2 linked regions of the Sus scrofa genome follow. The protein of the gene in region 1 purifies or fractionates together with the protein of each later gene. This does not show direct contact. Links are inferred from orthologs where the notes say so. Each region holds a gene or a part of one and is shown on either strand. Other genes may lie near its edges.

The links. The genes of interacting proteins can lie anywhere in the genome.
Region 2: the proteins of TTC1 (region 1) and VAPA purify together in Homo sapiens (affinity purification with mass spectrometry; 5 studies listed by BioGRID and IntAct, counting the BioPlex papers as one, with this or other methods). This does not show direct contact. The link is inferred for Sus scrofa from reciprocal best matches to the Homo sapiens genes TTC1 and VAPA.

The regions. Positions count from the first base shown.
Region 1 is NC_010458.4:63,457,803-63,460,785, reverse strand, and holds the end of TTC1 (tetratricopeptide repeat protein 1), read left to right. Parts: intron 1-1,804; coding exon 1,805-1,938; 3' UTR 1,939-2,430; downstream 2,431-2,983.
Region 2 is NC_010448.4:98,216,250-98,219,901, reverse strand, and holds part of VAPA (vesicle-associated membrane protein-associated protein A), read left to right. Parts: intron 1-3,486; coding exon 3,487-3,652. UniProt on the Homo sapiens protein: Endoplasmic reticulum (ER)-anchored protein that mediates the formation of contact sites between the ER and endosomes via interaction with FFAT motif-containing proteins such as STARD3 or WDR44.

The DNA of each region.
Region 1 (2,983 bases):
AGTTGTTCTGGAAGTAGAGGTGGACTTTCAGTCATTCCTCCACGCAGGAGGTGGCCCGTGGCTTGGTCGATAGTCCAGAGTGGCCCTGGGAAGGGCTCCTCCTGAGACATGTGGCATGAGATGCCTCACTTCACTCATTCCATGTCAGAAGAGCCAAGAATTGTAGCAGCAGTGACATTTTATTGGGCTTCTTTAAATGTTTGTTGCCTCCCTGTTCTCTCTCCCCAACCCCAGCACAGACAGACTGCCAGAGCTCTGGCTAACTCATGTTATCCTGGGGAGGCCCTGTCTTTTATTGGCTTATTGTGATCCCCTATTCATGCATCCATCTGCCCACAGCTGGGCTCTCGGCCTCTCTGTTCTGCCACCTGTGTGCAAGGACGAGGCCTGTGCCAGTGATTCTCCTTAATCAGCAGCACTAAGCATGTGTGTTACAGTTTTAAGTTTGGGAAGCCTGCCTGGAGAGTGGTCAGTCTGGGTTTTAGGAGCCTTCTCAGAATATGATGAGCTTCTGGGGGCAAAATTTTCCATATGCTGCAGGGGCAGCCCTAAAAAGACAAAAAAAAAAAAAAAAATTCAAAATACTCCTAGTTTCAAATATTCCATCCTATTGCCCCACAAATCTCTATAAATCTCTCAGATATCCTGGAAACTTTGTTTTGCTCTTTAGGGCTGCCCGCACAGCATATGGAGTTCCCATGCTAGGGGTCAAATCAGAGGTACAGCTGCTGGCCTACACCACAGCCACAGCAATGCTAGATCGGAACCACATCTATGACCTACACCACAGCTCACAGCAATGTTGGATCCTTAACTCATTGAGTGAGGCCAGGGATCGAACCTGCGTCCTAATGGATGCTAGTCAGATTTGTTTCCGCTGAGTCACAATGGGAACTTCTCCATGGCCCTCTTGTATGTAGAATCAGCATAAAAATACATGGTTACATTACATGTCTTAAATTTGGCATTATGACATGAACTCTCCTGGTGATGAGTAAGTAAAGCTTGAAACTCCAGGGCAGGAGAACTGGACTGTTGAGGTTGATGATGCTGTGCAAGTGAACAAGATCTCCCGTTTCCCCACAAATGTTTTGTGTGGAAGCTAAGGCTTTACTTAGAGCTAGCAGCTCTTTTTTTTTTTTTTTTTTTTTTTCTTTCCTTTTCTAGGGCCGCTCCCGCAGCATATGGAGGTTCCCAGGCTAGGGGTCCAATCGGAGCTGCAGCCACCGGCCTACACCACAGCCACAGCAACGCTGGATCCTTAACCCACGGCGCAAGGCCAGGGATGGAACCCGCACCCTCATGGTTCCTAGTGGGATTCCTTAACCACTGCGCCACGATGGGAACGCCCCAGAGCTAGCAGCTCTTGAGTTTGAACCCAGGTTTAGTAGCAACCTGGAGAGTAGAATTAGATTCAGCAAGCTGCTCTGCTGTTTCATAGAGCCTTGGGGGGACCCCTGCCCTCCCCGCCAAGCAGCCATGGGAGCAGGCCACCGCTCACCCCAGAGCCTGTGTCCTCCAAGTGGCTCTGGTCAGTCTGAATGGGAAGCTTCGCTCTCCAGCCAGGCTCCCTCACATTCATCTGCATAGGCAAGCAGTGGCTCAGGGCTGGATGGCTCTGAAGTGACTGTACTGCTCAGGCACCCTGGGAGCTGCAGCTTTCGTAATTTTAAAAGAGGGATTTCTCTAACTGCGGAGAGATACTCTTTCTGCTTTCTAATCAGATAAGTGAGGCAAGATCAGTTGGTGTCGTCCTGCTTCTGCTGATTCTCTGTATTTATTGGACTTTGCTTTTACATTGCAGGTAAACTAAAAGATCTTGGGAACTTGGTTCTCCGGCCTTTTGGACTCTCCACAGAAAATTTCCAGATCAAACAGGATTCCTCTACTGGCTCCTACTCCATCAATTTTGTTCAAAATCCAAATAATAACAGATAACAAAGATAACAATAGCTTTTAAAGCTGGTTTGGAAATTGCGTGCTGCTTGCTGTTAGCAAGGGAAAAGGCCTTGCCCATGTTTAACTTTCAAAAGCATCTTATCTCAAAGACAGGCTATCTACTAGAGCCCAGTGCGCCCTCTCCCCCTTGTTTTATGATCAGGGTGAAATGCACTTCCTGATGCAATGAGCCTAATTTGATTTCCGTTTTAAGGTAGTGTCTGTGCAGCTCTTGCCCTGGTTCTGGCTGTCCCTCATTGTGTCCAGGAGAAAGCCTGCTTGTCAAGGCTTACCTCCCGAAGTGCCACAGAGATAAGCCTAGCCAGAGTCATTTGGGCCGAGCAAACCTGCCGGTCGGAGACTAACCCAGCCAGGATTGATGGCATTCCCACCTGCTGCCCCCAATCCCCCATCACACATGCCACCCAGGCTGCTGTGTGTGGGCTCAAGCGTCCCCTGAGTTCCTCTGTGGTAATAAATGCTTCTGTGATGGTCTGAGCCGGGTTGTGAATTTTGTCCTTGTGATGACAGCTAAAGCAGGTTTTCCGGCTTTAGGAGCAGCATTGGTTTTGAGCACTTACTTGTTACTGGATTGCAGGAATCTGCCCAGAGCCTTAGTTCCCACCTTGAAGATGATCTTGAAGAGTTAACCATTCTACCAAATGCCAGAATTCAGAAACTCCCACCTTATAAGCTGCCTGTCTCTAGGTTTGTGCAGATTATTATGAAATCATTGCTTTCAACCAAGCATCAATCTTAGTAATTTCAGCTTAAAATAGCTTCATTTGGGAATGGTAGTATGTGAATCCCAGAACAAAACCGTATTCTTCTAGACTCCATGAACCCAGAAGTGTCAAAGATAGCCTTTTTTACCCCTAGTTGTTGATGCTGATAATAAGCTTTCGATTGTTACAGTTTTTCTTTTTTTTCTGAAATTTTTTTGTCTTTTTAGGGCCACACCCAGGCCATATGGAGTTTCACAGGCTAGCGGTCAAATTGGAGCTATAGCTGTGGGCCTATGCCACAGCCACAGTAATGCTGGATC
Region 2 (3,652 bases), on another chromosome or scaffold:
TCCCTAAGCCCTTGCATATTCTAGTTATCTCCAAAAGGAATAACTTAGAATATTGGAACTGAAATTCTGGAGATGGCTGGGAAAAAAAAAAAAAACAGAGAAGTAAGTTCAACTCATAGATGGAGGGGGATTATTGCAGATAGGCTAAATAATATAGAATAGCGGAAATTGTACAAAATAATCATTTTTTTTACGACCTTGATCTTCAGTTTCTTCTAGTTGCAGTTTTAGATACTGTGTTAATGTCATGTTGCTCTTCATCATTGCCTAAGTCACAGCATGTCGAGTCCCTCCAGTTTGCTTGTTTCATGGTTCTCAGAACAACCAGTCTCCTCATTCTGGACCAGTCTGAAGCACCTCTCACCGAACACGCTGTTTTCCTGGAGCCAAACCTCCCTGTGGCGCTCCTGGATGGACGAGTGTAGTTTAGTCTCAGCAGCCTTAGTGTTTCCATCAGGCTCTTCAGATTGTTGCTACTCAAATGGCTCGTCCCCCCACCCCCTCAACCCTCCCACCCCCCATCCTGGTTAGGTTATGTGTGCTTCTACTTTAAATAAATTAATCTGTAAATAAATTAGACTTCTTTGCATCTAGTCTTTATGTTGACTGGTTTGTAGGGGCCTGAATGACACTGAGTCCATGATATAAGTACACTCAGTGTAACTTTTCCATGACTTATTTGGCTCATTTTTGAAATGTGTTTAAGCTTCACTGTATCTTTTGCATTCCAGTCTTCCCACATTTATGCTCCACAAATTGGTTATGACACTCAAATTGGTTTCTTCTCCTTTTCCTTATAAAAGCAACATAATAACATTGAGAAACATTTCAATAAAAAGAAAAATCTAATTCTGCCACCATGAGAAGATATTGATTAATGTTATTTAAAATCCCAAAGAGTGGGAAGCTACCCATCAACTAACAGGAGTGAGGTGTTTAAGTCATTTTGATAAGGCACAGGATAGAATATTTAATGACATCATGTCATTTAAAGTAATAGTTAAGGAGTTCTCATTGTGGCTCAGTGTTAACAAACCCGACTAATATCCATGAGGATGTGGGTTTGATCCCTGGCCCTGCTCAGTGGGTTGAGGATCCAGCATTGCCCTGAGCTGTGGTGTAGGTTGCAGACATGGTACAGATATGGCGTTGCTGTGGCTGTGGTGTAGGCAGGCAGCTGCAGCTCCCATTTGACCCCTGGCCTGCTCCTGTGGCCCTAAAAATAAAAATAAAATAATTAAAATAAGTTTGCATACATGAATGATAAAAGCATTACATGTATGCTGATTTTAGAAGCTATGCATATGAGGGAGTTACCATTGTGGCACAGTGGCAGCGACTCTGACTAGTATCCACGAGGATGCAGATTCAATTCCTGGCCTCGCTCATTGAGTCCGATTCCACCCCTGGCCTGGGAACTCACATAAGCTGCAGGTGCGGCTCTAAACAGCAAAAAAAAACAAAAGCAAAAACAAAAACCCCATGCATATGAGAAAATATTGGAAGATAATATATAAATAATGGTTATGTTGGGTTGATGAGAGGGTGGTGAGTTCCTCTCTCTTTCAAAATCCTCAATTTTCTGGAGTTTTAAGAATTTGTTTAAAAATTGAAAGCCAGTCGTGAAGAGTTTGAGGATTCCTCGTTTTAATTTTTTCCCCTCTGGTTGGCCTCTTGTACCCTCCTCTTAATTTTTTAGTTAACTTTCTGTGGTATTTTTGCCCAGACCTGAAGATTGCTCGGTTGCCCTGCTGTTGCCTGTTTGCCTTCATCTTTAGAGCAAGGTTTGCTCCATTTGCACAATTCTTGTTTTCTGAAGCCCACCCACTCTCATGGGTACTCATGTTCTGAGTTGGTAGAGAGCAAAATATATCTAAAACAGAATTTTTAATAATAGTGATGGGATCAGTGAGGACGACGGGAGGTTAGAGCGGACAACAGGAAAGACGGGAGAAGAAGACAGAGAACATTGAAGCAGACTTCCTAAAAACTCGTCACAGCTGGGAAGCTTCCGAAGAAAATGAAAACTCAGAATGTTGACCGGAACTTCATTATAATACTAGTAATTTTTACATGAATTTAGACAGCAGTGATCAAATCACATTCTCTTCATAAGAAATAGTAGTTTTGTCCCTTGAACAAACAGTATATACTTAATATAAAGTCAGGAGCTGGGTGCTGTGGCAGGTGTGTAACCTACAGTTAGACTGGTGAGTGCTGTGGAATGCTATAGTTGATTTTGGAAATGGTTTTTGTTAGATGTTTCTACCCTTCCATCTGAAAAGTTAAGGATGAGACTTGGTGCATGCATTTGGGTAGGGTGTGTGTGATGGTGTGGATGATTCTGGGGAAAGGGCGCTGAGGCCACAGGCTCAGGACCCTGACCTCTGTGTGTGTCTCTGAGCCTTTGCCACTGGTGTCATGCATGTGAGTTCTGGCAGGACTGAAGATTGGGGGCTTACAGATTTTTGTGTGTGTGTCTTTTTAGGCTGCACCTGCAGCATATGGAAGTTCCCAGGCTAGGGATCCAAATGGAGCTACAGCTGCTGGCTTACGCCATAGCAGCAGTGACACCAGATCTAAGCCGAACCTGTGACCTACACCACACCTCATGGCAACACTGGATCCTTAACCCACTAAGCAGGGCCAGGGATCGAACCTGCATTCTCATGGGTACTAGTCAGGTTCATTACCGCTGAGCCACAAGGGGAACCCCTGGGGCTCACAATTTTAAAAGTGCTTGAATACCAGTGTGATTTCCGTGTTGAATTCATAAGCAGGCGTGTTCTCAGTTATGGTCGTGTGTCCTTAACGTCATGAAACTGACTTTCGCCTTTTGTTCCCATGACACATCTTTGTCTTCATTATTTTCCCCTTCAGTGTTTCTATCCTTCAGCTTTTTTTTTTTTTTCCATTGGTAGAAGTTAGGTTTCCTTTGAAATGTTCTTTTTGGATAGTCTCATTTTATTGGAAGGATTGCAGTGAACTCCCCTTTTGCTCCAGAGCCTCCTTGGAAGTGCAGAGTCAGAGCACTGACAATGAACTTCATGTTTGGATTTTGGTTGGTGGCGCTTTTTGTACTTACGGAGTAACTGCTGTTGGCCCAAGTGCTGGATTTAGGGGTCAGTGTACAGAGAGCTGACTCTTGTCTCCCTGCCTTTGAGGTTTGGTAGGGAGGACACTCCGGGTCCACTATTGCTCTGTGGTGGAGTGAGTGCTCAGGGCCATGGGCGCACAGGAGGGAGTGTGCTGCTCCTGCCGACCTCCCTGACCGCCTGCCAACACTCACTAACTTAGTCCTGAAGGTGGACAGATGACTAAACATTTGGTATTTTAAAAACTTCCTAATAGTGAAATTGAAAATTGGGAAGACTTTTCATTTAAATAATTTTTTGGAGAAGGATGTGGAGTTTAAATTTTTGTTTAAAACCTGTGAGAAGATTGAGTCCTTTAAAAGAACTCCGATCCACTGTCTTTGTGATGCAGAACGACATGGAGCCCAGCAAAGCTGCGCCCCTGAACGCCGCCAAGCAGGATGGGCCGGTGCCAAAGCCGCACAGTGTTTCCCTCAGCGATGCGGACACCAGGAAGCTGGTGGAGGAGTGCAAGCGGCTCCAGGGAGAGATGGTGAAGCTGTCGGAGGAGAACCGGC